Linked DNA regions of Notamacropus eugenii. The protein of the gene in region 2 purifies or fractionates together with the protein of the main gene of each other region. This does not show direct contact. Links are inferred from orthologs where the notes say so. Each region holds a gene or a part of one and is shown on either strand. Other genes may lie near its edges.

Evidence for each region. Proteins that work in one complex are often made in the same cells at the same time.
Region 1: the proteins of CDC5L (region 2) and U2AF2 purify together in Homo sapiens (affinity purification with mass spectrometry; 5 studies listed by BioGRID and IntAct, with this or other methods). This does not show direct contact. The link is inferred for Notamacropus eugenii from reciprocal best matches to the Homo sapiens genes CDC5L and U2AF2.

What each region holds. Positions count from the first base shown.
Region 1 is NC_092876.1:18,155,279-18,162,568, forward strand, and holds the start of U2AF2 (splicing factor U2AF 65 kDa subunit), read left to right. Parts: upstream 1-4,267; 5' UTR 4,268-4,398; coding exon 4,399-4,447; intron 4,448-7,290. Other genes in the region: CCDC106 (coiled-coil domain-containing protein 106), read left to right, coding at 1-24, 161-250, 326-502, 618-812, 1,836-2,152. UniProt on the Homo sapiens protein: Plays a role in pre-mRNA splicing and 3'-end processing. By recruiting PRPF19 and the PRP19C/Prp19 complex/NTC/Nineteen complex to the RNA polymerase II C-terminal domain (CTD), and thereby pre-mRNA, may couple transcription to splicing.
Region 2 is NC_092873.1:107,878,723-107,885,826, forward strand, and holds the start of CDC5L (cell division cycle 5-like protein), read left to right. Parts: upstream 1-4,011; 5' UTR 4,012-4,299; coding exon 4,300-4,344; intron 4,345-6,741; coding exon 6,742-6,845; intron 6,846-7,104.

The DNA of each region.
Region 1 (7,290 bases), on a different chromosome or scaffold from region 2:
AGAGGAACGGCCGGAGGCGGACAAGTGAGCAGCCCCGCCCCTCCCCTCGGGCCCCCGGCCCAGCCCCCCGCCCTCGGGAGCCCCGCGGGGGAGGGGGGCGCCCGGGCGGCCGCGGCCTCGGAGTAAGGGAGCTCTCTCCCCGCCCCCCCTTCCCTTCCAGTGAAGAAGGACGAGGAGGGCTTTGAGATCTCCGTCCCGTTCAACGAGGCCCCCCCTGCGGAGTCACCCCCCATCTTCTGCGGCCTGGAGGGTGAGCCTGCGGGCCGGGGGCGGGGCCGGGGGGGCGGGGGGCGCGGCCTCGCTCACGGCTCGCCCCTCCCCTCAGAGCCCCCGGAGCCCGCGTCGCCCACCCTGGCGCTGATGAGCAGCGTGAAGACCCAGCTGCACATGGCCCTGGAGAGGAACTCTTGGCTGCAGAAGAGGATCGAGGATCTGGAGGAGGAGCGGGACTTCCTGCGCTGTCAGCTGGACAAGTTCATCTCCTGCGCCCGCATGGACGCAGGTAGGGCCGGGCCCAGGTGGGGGGGCCCGCAGGTGGGGGCTGGGCGGGGGGGGGGCCCCACAGGCCCACCTGCCGTGCCCTCCCGTGCCCTCCTTGTCCTCTCTCCCATCTCCAGAGGACCACTGTCGGGGCAAGCCTGGCCCCCGGAGGGCAGAGGGCTCTGGGGAGGCCTCAGACCCCGAGTCAGCAGCCTCCTCCCTCAGCGCTGGCTCCGAAGAGGGGGGTTCTGCTGAAAGGAAGCGCCAGAAACAGAAGGGGGCGGCTGGCCGAAGGAGATTCGGGAAGCCCAAGGCCCGGGAGAGGCAGAGGGGTGAGTGTCAGGTACCCCCGGGTGTGGGGGGGTTGCTAGGGATACGGACAGAGGAAGGATGCTGGACTAGCAGATTGGGTGCATGTGTCCGTCCTCTGTGAGATCCTTAGCACCTGGCTGCCCAGCCCTCAGCCTCCTGTCTTTTCTGACTCCTAGGCAACTAGTTGGCACAGGGAATAGTGTGGGACCTAGAGTTAGGAAGACCTGAGTTCAGATACAGCCTCAGAAGTGTATGATCTTGGTCAAGTCACTTTATCTCTGTTTGCTTCAGTTTCCTCAACTGTAAAATGGGAATAACAGGGTTGTGAAGCTGAAAAAAGATACCCCCTAGGGGGCAGGACCCTGGCATGTGGCCAACCTGGTACCTGTGCCCTCAGAGACCCTCCCCTGTGAATTGTGAGGGATCCCAGAATAGGGCAGTCTGCTCTGCTCCCCACACAGGCAGCCAGGTTTGCATTGGCAAGGGGGCTGCCAAGTCCGTGGGATTCTCCTGAACCTCCTCGTGCTCCCAGGCTCTGCTTAGCCATAAGCCTTAGAGGCTCCATATTTGGGAGTCAGGATGCTTGGGTTCAGTTCTGATGCCATCCCTGATTCATATCAGAGGCTAGAGACTAGGGTTCAAATCCCACCTCAGATACTTAGGAATGAGAGGATCAGCTCTCTCATCTGTCAAATTGGGACAAAAATGCCTCAGAACTTTGTAGCTTCTCATGCCAGGCAGGAGAGGCAGGACAGGGTGGTGAAGAGTGCCATGCCATCCTCTCAAAGGCCCAGGGAAGAGAGCAGTAAGCAAGCAATTTGCACCAGGGGAGGGAGGTGTTCTGTACGGGACATCACAGTTCTGGTTGTTTAGGCCACTCCCACCTTCCCATTTCCAGGGGGACAACACTGAAGGCCAGGCAGTAGCCCTGGGATCTGAAGCCAAGCCATTCCCCTGGGGTGTCACCAAGCAGGGGTGGGTGGTTGGACTCGGTCCCCATGTCTCTGGGGCTCTCACTGGCTCAGCCTTTCCCTGGCCCACAGTGAAGGATGCTGATGGGGTGCTGTGCCGCTACAAGAAGATCCTGGGCACCTTTCAGAAGCTCAAGAGCATGTCCAGGGCCTTTGAGCACCACCGGGTGGACCGGAACACGGTGGCCTTGACCACGCCTATTGCTGAGCTGCTCATCGTGGCGCCGGAGAAGCTGGCCGAGGTGGGCGAGTTTGATCCGTCCAAAGAGCGGCTGCTGGAATACTCCCGCCGCTGCTTCCTGGCACTGGACGACGAGACACTGAAGAAAGTACAGGCTCTCAAGAAAAGCAAGCTGCTGCTGCCCATCACGTACCGCTTCAAGCGGTGATCCCCACGCCTGTCCTGCCCCAGCTTCTCCCCAAGCCAGCTGCTGTCACCGCCTTCTCTCCCTCCCACCCTGCATCAGTCTTGTGTTCTCGGGCCTGGATGGCCGAGCCAGCTGGAGCCATCGCCTACCCCAGCATGGATCCCCCTAGACTGGCTGTCTGCTGTCTTCTCTTCGGATGCTGGCTGCTTCAAGTGGCCCCTCCTATGTCCGACTACTCGACTCTCCTCTGCTTCTTCCAGGAGCAGCTCTTTCCAAGCGACAATCCTGTTCCCTGGGCTCTTGAGGGGGCCTCCAGAGGTAGTGGTTGGCTTGCATCCTGTGCTCTAATGGGCCTCCTGGCTACCTTTTCTCGCCAGGGGACCCCTTATGTCCCACAATGGTTCTCCTATTGATGTCTGAGCCAAGTGATGTGTCATTTACAACTAGTCCCCCTTAACGGCGACCCTCCAGGAGCCCCACAAAGGCTCAGCTCTTGGGTGGGATCCTGCCCTTGCCCTTTTCCTAGCCTTCCGCAGCACCCCTGCAGCCGGTGGGTGCATGCACGTGAGTGATGTGTTTACATGTGGTTCCAGGTGGAGGTGGGTGGGCTCCCTGTCTCATCTGCTGCTACCCTCTCATGGAGTTTGTGTGGAGACAGGAAGGCAGTGTATGTATGTATATATTTACCGAACATCTCCCCCTTCTGCCTTCCGTGGTGTCAGCATCTGTTTCCCACCCCCATTGCCCTGGCCTGGCTTCCTTTATTCCTTGCCCCAAACCTAGAGACTTGGGAGTCTCTGCAGACTGTCCAAGTGGCCGGGCATCACTGCCTCTGGAGAGAGGTCAGAGGAGCCCTTGAAAGAACCTGGCTTCTCGCTCCACTCTGGGTGTGACTCCCTTCCCTCCCCTTCTCCAGGCCTGTTTCCTTCTCTGTAAAATAAGGGAGTTCAGTGCGATCCTATCCAAGGTGGCTGTGAGGCCCTGGGTAAGTCTGGGTCTCTTCCTTCTCGTGAACGCGGAGCAGATGGGACGAGGAGCCCCCACGAGGTCGCAGTCTGTGACGATGGGGCCTGGACTCTGCGGAGGCTGACCGATCCTTCCCTCCCCGGCGGCCGCTGGGCAACGGAGCCTGGGAGCGCCCCCTCCCTTGAGTACCAGCCGCCGGCCCTGGACCAACAGATAAATGAAGTATTCAGAGTTAAAATTAAAAGTTAACCAGCAGATTTGGAATAACCTTGGCCTCGGTTCTGGCTGTGGGGGAGAGGGGGTGGCGAAGTGGACCGAGCCGAGAGACGGCCGGGAGCTCCCTTCCGGGGCGCTTGCCCGTCCCGAGGCTATGGCGCAGGCGCGACTCTGCTTAGGCTGCCGTTTCTAAGGCGACCGCCAAGGGAAGGAGAACGCGCTAACAGTCTTACGGGTACGGGGCCAGTCGGCTTTGGAGGGCTCAAGTGCGCGTGCGTGCTGGCCAGAGAGGGCGGAGACGAGCAAGGGGTAGCCTCGATCCTCTTTTCCCATTGGTTGGCCCCGCTTTGCACTTGCGCAGTAGCCCGGCTCCCCGTCCATTCGCTCCGGCGCAGCCGTAGCTTAGGTTCGGGTCGGCCTCGCGGGGCGGCCCGCACAGGCGCACAAAAGCCCCGCCCCCAGCTAGGCTCCACGGCGGCGCGGCGTTCCGCGGCCTACCAGTCGGCGCCCTCGGTTCCTCTCGCGAGCCGCGCCCCAAGCCGGAAGAAGTCGAAACGCAGGGAGCCGGGAGGCGGGAGTCGGAGGTGCGCCTCCGGAAAAAGCCGAAGTCGGGCCCGAGTGCCTCCGGAAAGAACCGAAAGCCGGAAGGGGCCGTGCGTTCGCCGGGGCCAGCAGGGGAACACGACGGCTCCGGCCGCGTTCGACCTCTAGGGCAAACTCGAGGCCACCCCGACAGGGTCTGTGCGGCCTCGCGGGCCGGGACAGGAGGGGGTGCCTCCCGACCAGAACTCGGGAGCCGCTGAGGCAGAGACCGCGCGGTCTGTTGGGGCCGGGTGAAGCGGGGCGGGGGCCGGAAACAGCCGAAGCGTTCCGGAAAAAGCCGAAGGGACTCAGGCCCCTCCTCGAGCGAGTAGGAGGCGGGGCCGGGGGCGGAGCCTGCGCGGGGGCCGGAAGCGGGCGAGGCGGGCGCCGGAAGTGGGCGAGGCGGCGCCGAGGGCAGGCGAGGCAGGCCAGGCCGGGCCAGGCGGGGGGGACGGGACGGGGGAGAAGGCGCGAGCGCGGGCTGCGGCCGGCCGCCCCTCAGCATGTCCGACTTTGACGAGTTCGAGCGGCAGCTCAACGAGAACAAGCAAGGTGAGTCCCAGCCTCGGCCGGCCTACCGGCCTCCGGCGCTCCCTTCCTTCCCTCGCTCCGGTCCCTTCTCCCCTCAGCCCGCGCGGCTGCCTCCCCCTCCCCCTCTCGGTCCGGCGCTACACGTGACCCGCGCGCGCCTCCCGCCGCGCCATGTGACCGCGCATCGCACGTGACCGCCTCGCGCGCGCCCGCCTCGGGCCCACGCGGCTCGGGGGGCCTTGACCGAGACCGGAGACTTTGGTCAGTGCCGGGACCAGCTAGGGTGGCCCCCCCCCAACCCCGACCGGTCCCCCTCCCGCTCCCTCCTCGCTCCGTGCTGCCCACTTCCGCTTCCGGTGGCGGCCCGTTCCTCCTCCACGCCCCCTTTGTTCCCAAAATGGCCGCGGCGGGGGCTTTCCCCCCCACGTGGAGGAGTTGGACGTGGACTGGTCCGGGATCGACCCCCGTGACTCCCGCCGGCCCAGAGCCCTCGCTGGCGTTCCGTCTCCCTTTCCCACCCCTGCACCTCCTTTTCCACTCTCGGGGCAGGGGGCGCTTCGAGACCTCTTGGGGCTTCCGGCCGGCCAAGGTCCCTGGTCACCGACCTTGCGGCTCCCCGGGGCCTCGGCGGGGGCCGGGCCAAGTGTCCTTCCCTGCTACTGGAGGGGGGCATCCCGAGCTTGGAAGGCCCTGTGGGCCCCCGGGGAACGCGTGGGAAGGGTCAAATTCATTATCCGACTTTGTCCCGACCCCTTCCCCGAGGGCCCCGTCGGGGCCTGGGACCATTTACGGTCTGGCCCTCAGCCCCTAAACACGTGGACTTGGCAGCCTGTGTGAGTGAGGAGCGGCGGCTGCCCGTGCCCGCCTTCCCCTTCTTGTGCCGAGCTTTGTTTTGGTTCCGACCGGCCCTTTCTTGACCCTCAGGGGCTCCTTTCTCCTGTTGGTCTTCTTCTTCAGGGCGTTCTCTGTTTCCGGCAATCAGAAGGGGTTTATCCTTGCCCTCTTCATCTGAGGCCTTCACCCAGTATCCCTCACCTCAGGCTGTCTCTAGAGGGCCTTTTCCTTCTTCCTCCAGATGTCCCTGAAATGGTCCCCATGTTTACCCTCTCCCTGAAGCAGGTTAAAGTCAGGGTCTCTCCTTCCAAAACTTCACTTCTAGTGGAACACCTTTGCCCTTCTCCGCTGCACGTACTCTTTCTAAATGAACTCCTTCTCAAGTTTGAACAAGTCCAAAGTTCTTTCAGTCGCAGAGATGAGAAAACTAGGGCCTAAGGAACCAAAGGGATTTGTCCAAAGTAGTCCAAGGGGCAGTCATGGGGCAGAATGGGGAAATGGAACCAAATATTCTGATCCAAGTCTCCCCAACAGACTCCTTAAGAAAATCCTCCTGTTGAGCAGGGTGTGGAAGTATCCCAAACTTCTCTGTAGTTTTGGAACCCTACTGACCCAGTTCTCTGAGACTGGAATCTGGAAAGGATAGGACCGCTTCCTCCCCTTTTTTTTCTGCCCCAATTCACAGGTTTCTTCTGCTGGACCTCACATCTCCTTTGCTGCCACAACTTAGTGGTTCTGTTTCTTTGCCCCCAACATTACCTGCTTCTAGCAAATCAAGGCATACTCCTCCAATCATGTTTTAGAGAGGGGAAAATCTGCTGTCTAGAGAATCCAAGGTTATACAGCAAATCCAGGTTGGAGCTGGAACCTCAGTTCACTTGCCCCATTCAGAAGGAAATCTATTTACAAGGAGGAAAGGTCCAGGTTGGAGCCCTGGTTCTGCTGCTAACTAACTGTGTGACCTTGGGCAAGTGAGAATTTCTTTCTGAGCTTTACTTCTCTTCCTTTTCATAAGGGAGATGGACTAGATGATATCTGGTGTCCTTTTCAAGTTTGACAGGAACCTTCTACACACGTCAGATTCATCCTCCTGGAAGAGAGAGGTAGATAAGGACTTTGCCAAGGTCACCCAACTAAGTGGGCCCAAGCTTGAACCCAGGGCTCCTGTCTTTCAGCCTATTATCCTTAGTGATCTGGAATCAGTGTCAGAACCAGAAATGGTGCTTAACCATTGTGGCACCCTGATTTCAGAGGATGTGAATCCTAGCCCTTTGGGGCCTGGGGTTGTTTGCAGTAGTTGTCTTACCTCAGATCAGTTCAGTGATCTCCTCTCCCTAGTTGAGCTTGTGAAGCCAGGGTTCCCGCCTCCATGACTGAGCTCTCCATCTTTCTGGTGTACTGGGTTAGAGGTGGATGTATACCAGTGAATCCCCTCCAGAGAAGGGATGAGAATTAGAAGAACCTGGGTAAGAAATAATGATGTCTAGCCATCCATAAGGGCATAAGACTGAGTTTTGGATCCTTGTTTCTCCAGGCACAGGGGGAGGTGGGACTGGGCCCAGTTGGGATCCTGGATTCCTGAAGAGAAGAATTAGTTTGATTTGACAGTGGGCAGTCATCTCCTTGGGAAGAGGTAGACCCTACACTTTTGGATCTTGGTGGGATCTTTGAATGCTTCAGTAAGCATCTATGGGTGACTGTCTCCATGGCCCCCTCCTCACTTTAAACACAGAAGCATGTTTTGAACAGCTATAAGATGATTGAGAGCCTGAAGATGGAGTAGGGAATGAGAAAGGGTGCATATGATGGGGGGAATCTGCCATCTGCCCCACTGGCCAGGCTCTTACCAGCAGCCACAAATGTATCTTGGCACTATGAGCTCTTTCCTTGCCTGGTGAGAGCTCTTGCTCCGTGTATGCTTCTGGCCACATTTCTGCTTCCAGTTTCCTTCCCTGCCATGGACCATGTGGTACTTGGGTAGGGGAGGTACAGGGAGGATAGGAGTCCCCTGCCCTTGTGTATCTCCAGTG
Region 2 (7,104 bases):
CATTCTCTCAGTAATCACATTCTGGAGTTGTCCAAGATAAGGGGCCTGGTAGCAGCAGTCATCTCAGGCAGAGCAGTAAGTTATGGGATGGGTTAAAAGGTTGGGTTAAAATCCCTGAGGTTACCCTTCCTCTCTGTCCTAATAATGAAAGGCCTGCTAATGCTGGCTGAAGGGCACTTTTAAAAATCACCTGGTGGATATATCCATAATTCCAGAAGATAATTTGTTACTAAATTTAAATGTACCTTTAATACAGCTAAATAAATTTAAGTGGAACTTAGGTCCTTTATGTCAGCTGATTTGTAAACTTTCCCCTTCGAGGTAGGTGTGAAACTAATTAGCCCTTCCACCTCTGAATCTCGAAGCTCTCAGGTTTAAACATTATAGAACTTAGACCATATCACCAGCAAGGCTGAAAAAAAAACTTATAACTGTGTCAAATAATAAGTTTTAAATATCTTATCAGATAAAACAAGGAAGAAATATTTTAAAACTATAATATAATCTTGCTTTTACTCTGCCATCTTGGCTCTGCCCCCTATTATAATTGTAATGAAATAAAACACACTGAACAAAAATAGCAGTTTTTGGACAACTCTTTAACAACTGGGTTTATAACCTAACAACCTAGCAGTATCCAGATTGCAAGAGAAGTAATTTTTCTAACTATGTTGATATTAGCAAATTTCACAGCATAAGCATGCACTTTATTTTATATTAACAGTATTAGGAAATATATAAGCAGCTCTACCAGTTTAGATTCACAATTGTTATTATTAGGTTAGTTCAAAGTATGCCAGGCCAATATTATAAGCCATTGCTGTTAACATTTTTCACTCTAAAATTCTGGGTTGAGGATTGATTTTTGGTTCAGGCAAAAAACCCTACAGAGTTTAAGCTGATGCTGGTGGTCATGGCCCACTGAAGTTGTAGACGGTTTTCACAGAACACAGAGTTATTATAATGATTCTACAATAATAATGAAAAAGTTTGGAATATTGCAAGAATTACCACAATGTGACAAAGAGACATGATGTGAGCTACGTGCTACTGGAAAAATGGCATTGACAGACTTGCTTGACACAGGATTGCCACAAATCTCCAATTTGAAAAACAAAACGCAGCATCTCCGAAGCACAATAAAACTTTGGGATACTTGTATAAGGTAGAAGATGAAGCTAGTGGATGACTGACACCAAATACGTACTTGGGTCCTCCTTACTGCTTCTGAGGATCAGGGCAATTAGTTGTACCCTCCCCTAGAATTACCTACTTCACTACTTTATACTTACACTCTACTTTGTATCAGCTCATACAAGTTTTCTCATTTTTCTGAATTCCTCATATTCCTATCTTCTTACAGTTCAATAGCTTTCCATTGCATTCATATGCCATAACCAGTTCAGTTTTTCTTTAGTCAATGGGCATCTTTTTTCTAGTTTCTCATTTTTTTTCTACCACAAAGAGTTGCCAAGAATATTTTGGTATATGTGGGACCTTGCTTTCTGTCTTTGAACTCCTTGGGACCCAACCATGTTGGAATTGCCTCGGGCAAAAGTAGGAATAATTTCATGACTTTGTTGTTATTGTTGTTGCTATATTAGTGTGATGGTGCTCCTGCATTGCTTCCAACATTAACTATTCCCATCTTATGTAACTGTAATTTTGAGGGGATATAGAGCAAGTTTCAGAGTTATTTAATTTGCATTTCTCATTATTAGTTACTTGGATCATTCTTTCACCTAATTCTTGATAGTTTGCATTTCTTCTTTTGTTTATATCCTTTGCCCACTCATCTCTTGGGTAATGGATCTTGGTAGCATATTTTGGGTCTGTTCCCTACATATCTTGGGTTTAACAATTTTATTGTAAATATTTGATGCAGTTTTTTCTTCCTCTTTTTTTAAAAATCTGGAAGTCTTTTAAAAAATCTTTTTATATTCTCCCAATTACATGTGAAAACAATTTTAAATATTCATTTTTAAAACTTGAGTTCCAAATCCTCTCCCTTCCTCCCCACCCACACCTCCCAATGAGAAGGCAAGCAGTTCAATATAGGTTATACGGGTGTAGTCATGCAAAAGATATCTATAATAGTCATGCTGTAAAAGAAAATATAGACAAAAACACTCAAGAAAAATAAAGTAAAAAGGTATGCTTCAACCTGTGTTCAGAAACCATCAGTTCTTTTTTCAGGGATGGATAACATTTTTCATCGTTAAGTCCTTCAGAGTTGTATCATTGTATCAGAGTTGATCATTGTATTGCGGAGAATAGTTAAGTCATTCACAGCTGATCATCTTACAATATTGCTGTTACTTTGTACACAGTACATTCCACTTTGCATCAGCTCATGCAAATCTTTCCAGGTTATTTTGAGAGCATTCTGCTCATCATTTCTTATAATACAACTATTCTGTCATAATCACATAACACAGCTTGTTCAGCCATTCCCCAATTGATGGGCATTGCCTCAATTTCTAATTCTTTGTCCCTTTTTTCTCCTTATCTTCGTGATAATTTCACATCTTATTCCAGCTGTATTAATTTTGTTTCTGCAAAAGCTTTTAAATTTTAGGTAATTTAAGTGATCTGTTTTATGATCATTTCTATCCCTTGTTTGGTTAAGACTTTTTCACTAAGCCGTAGTTGTGAAAGGCATTTCTTCCCATTCTCTTCTAATGGGAATGGCACTCCGGATGTATCATATCTGGGTCAGCTACTATTCCTAGCCTTTTCTTTTGAAGTGCCATTCAACTTCTTCATGTGGCGTATTGGGACTGAAGACTTAGGGTTGGAATTCAGCGGTGCCTTTGTCACTGATGATGAAAATAGATTTGTAGAGAAATGCTGACAAATCTGTCCTCTTTTTTGGCTGTTTTCTGCCAACCAGTTGTATTTATGGATGCTGGTGGTATGACGTAACTCAGTTCCATCTCAAGCTAAGCGTTCTGTAGTTGTGTCAGTTCTCCTCCAAGTCACCCTGAAGGTCACCTATGCTATGCCAAGGTGAAGAGAATTATATACTTGGTTCCAACCTCAATCCAGCGTGGATTCTTATCTTTTACAGAAAGCCTTTCCTAATTCCTCTAATTTTAATGTCTTCCCATTTTTAATTATTTCCTCTTTTCCCTATATATACCTTGTTTGTACGTATTTGTTTCCTTGTTGTCTCTAGTAGATGGTGAGCTCCAGGTGCGGAAACTGCCTTTTGCCTCTTTTTTGTAGTTTATAAATACTAAATAGTCTATCCTAGTATTTATAAAAATAAATCACATATAACGATAAATAATGACAGTACACAATCATAAGAACAAATATCTGTATTCTAGAAACAACAAATGTGTATTGGTTGACTGAGATTCCACTCACTGACCAGGCAAAACATAAAAAATAAAATAATAAAGCAGTTAATTGAAGCATATGAACAAAATAGAACAGGGGGAAAAACACCTTGCAGAAAAATTCTTAACCTCTCCTAAAGCAACAGAAAATAGCCGTCTCCCACCTCCCACTCCCCACACTCCCATGCCAACTGGGAAAGGCAATGAATCCTTCAGTACGGGGTGTTGGGGCTGGGGGGGGGAGAGGCACGTGGGGGAATCACGTCTAAAGTCCCTTCCAGCTCCCAGTGTACGGTCCTAAGTCACACCTGGCCGTCTACACCTGCTTTATGATAATTACTTATTAGTATTGTTCCCCCAGGAGACTATATAAGGTCCTAGGGGGCAGGAATGGTGTCCTTTCTTTTCTTTCCGTCTTTGAATTTCTAGCCTAGTTCAGTCATTCATATTACAGACGCCTAATAAATACTTATGGAATGGAATGGAATCGAATTCCCTAGTTCCCGTCCAAAGCTTTTAACTTAGGAATTTAGAGTTACCCGTCCACGCGCAAGGCAAAACCACCAGCCATAGAACTGTTCCCGTGTGTGACACACCTCCGACCCTCAGGTGGCGCTATGAGCTCCCACTCCTCTCTATCCCCGCCTCCCACCATCGACGCAGCCGCAGATCGACCCGGGAACGAAGACGCAGCTGTCAGCTTTTTATGCGCATGCGTGCCACTACAAGCGAGGCCGGGCGCTTTGACCGGGAATCTAGCTATCTAGTTTGGGTTACTCCCCGCGACCCGGTAATCTCGCGTGACTAACCTTCTCTCTGCGCCTGCGCACAGCATTCGGAAGCCGAAGGTCGTGCTGGGAAGAAGGGTCGGCTTTGGGTTCGGAGGCCGCTACGCCATTTCAGTGTTCGCCCGATCGTCTCGGCTATTTGCCGAATCACTCACCCTTCCGCCAAGATGCCTCGGATTATGATCAAGGGGGGCGTATGGAGGAATACGGAGGTGAGCGTCGTCTTCCTGTCACTCTCCCTGGCCCCCTGCGGTGGTGTGTGCGCATGCGCCATCTGATGGTAGAGCAGTTATGGGGGCGGGGAGTAGGGGGTTAGAATCCTGGAGTACGTAAAGTTGGAGCGGACCTGGCCCCCGGGTGCTTTTCCTCGCCCTCCACCTGCGCTTTAATTTGGCGCCACCCCCTGCCTTTCCAGGCTTCTCTCATGCATTCCACGCACTCTGTGATGCGGGCAAGGCTGGGCCGGTGGGCAGCGCTCCATTCTCCCGCCCCCGGTGCTTTGGCTCCTACTGCCCCTCGGGGCTGGAATGCCGTTCCTATCTGCCCCAGAATGCTGCACTTCCCTTTATCCTCTAAAGCCCAGTTGGCACACCTCCTCCAGGGAGCCGTTTACGGAATCAAGAGTGGTCCTTTCGGATGGGTCTCGTTTCTAGGGAGTTTTTCCTTGGGCCAAATCAAAATTGGTTTTCTGCCGACTCAGAAATAATAATAATGATACAATAATAGCTAGCCTTTATACACCGTTATAGGGTCTGCAAAGTGCTTTACAAATCTCCTGGGATCCTCACCACCCCTCTGGGAGGAAGGTACTGTTATTATTCGCATCAAACAGATGAAGAAACTAAGGCAGACAGGGTCCCGTGAATATTAAACGTGTGAGGCAGGTTTTGAATTTAGGTCTTCCTGACTCTAAGTGCAGCATTCTACGTATTGTGCCATCTAGCTGCTTCTTGTACTTCCACTGATTGTACTGGATTCTGTTCTCTGAACACATCTAATCCTCCTTCCAAATGATACCCTTTTTTCATGCTTCAGTAATTTCTATTTTTTGTTACTCTGAACTTTACAAACACCCATAAATGTGACCTTCCATATTCAACAAATAGAAAAAAGATTACGTATAAAAATAAAAATATTGCTTGTTTTTAAAAGAATAGAATAAATTCAGTTTGTTAGTTTCAGAGCTGTCTTGTTCCTTTATATCTAACCTCTGAACCTTCTGGAGAAGGTTCTTTGTCCTTTTTTCTGTACTTTTTTAGTTCTTCAGTGATCTTCCTTCTTTCTTTCCTTTCTTTTCCCAAAACCTTAAACCCAGTGCACTCTGAAGTTGGACAACTATAGGTCCTTGCCCAAGCTCCGCTTAATGGCTGGCTTAGAGTGATTATCAATAGTAACAGTTTCTTTTTCCCTCCCAGTTTGATTTACTTATTTTTTTCATTGGTTCATTAAAAGGGCCATTCCCTGATTACTTCTGGAAGAGGCCTATTCAACTCAATGGGTGTTACCTCCTTCTAAGTGAGTACCTGAAAAGGCCTAGCCTAAAAAGGCCAAGGTCTCCCATTGCATCCTGGGCCATCTGCAGTCATCCTGATGAATATCTGGTACTGGATTCAGATGGCTCTGGAGGAAAAGTGAGGCTGGTGACCTGCACAGCCCTCCCTCACTCAAAACAAAGTCAAGTGCAAGTCATGTCATCATTTCTCTGATGCCATGGTCCTCTTCGACAATGAAGGACAAAAACACGAAGTCTTGAGAAGACTAGTTACTGGGGGAGGCTGCACCACTTTTCCAACCTTGGGGACAATCTTTCCTCCAATGTCCCTTCTGGTCACATGTGCACAGTTCCATAGGCATTGATTCCTGGGGCTCCCTCTGGGGGGGCGGGCGCCCTGGAGGGGCACTCCTTGGACCAGTGACCCTCCTTTATTTAAATGTTTTTTGACAATTTTGACAATTTTTTGACAATTAATGTACTGTCAACACTCTTTGAAGATAGACCTAGATTTACCCATGAATTTCCAGGCCCAAGCCTCCTATAGAGATATTAAGCCAGTGTAATAATAGCAGTAGGTAAACTTTACATAATGTTTTCAAGTTTGCCCAGTAGTTTACATATATATTTACTCCTCTGTGAGGTGGGTACTATATTAGTTATCCCTGTTTTACCATTGAAGAAAATGAAATGTAGAGAAGTCAAGTTTCTTGTCAATATTAAGGGAGTGAATATCAGTGGTAGAATTCAAAACAGCCTTTGGGACTACATGTCCAGCTTTCTGTCTGTCATGGTATAGTGGAAAGGGACTCAATGGAAGAGTCAGATGAGTTAGTACCAGATCTGTCAGGTGTCAGCCAGGCTGCTTTGGGAATCACCTTACTTCCGTTGGCCTCAGTTTCTTCATTGATGGAGTGAAACCATTGAATCACATAACTTTTTAAGGTCTCTTACAGCTGCACAATTTCCCATCCTCTTTTTGGAGGGGGACAGGAAGGGGTGTTCCCTAACCTTGCTTGGAAGACTACAGAAACCTTATCAGAACTAAGCTAGATTGATTCTTTCTGGTGAAAAATAATTTTTGTTTGTTAAATCTTTTTCTTGTTCATTTTCTTAGGATGAAATTCTCAAAGCAGCGGTAATGAAATATGGAAAGAACCAGTGGTCTCGGATTGCTTCACTGTTGCATAGGAAATCAGCAAAGCAGTGCAAGGCCAGATGGTATGTGCAAGTCAGCAAAGGGAACCTTGGAAAAACTTAATGTGTACTTAATGGTAATAGGGGAAGTGTGGTAGTTCTTTGAATTTAGTTAAGAACAGGAATTAAGAGTGTAGTGTAAAGATCTGAGAGTCAGGAAAACTAGGTCCTAGTCCTGGTTCTCTTGTGAACTTGTTTGACTTTGAGCAAGTCACTTCACACATTTGGGCCTCAGTTTCCTGGCAAATTGGAATAAGCACACTTGCTCTATGGCATGGGTGGA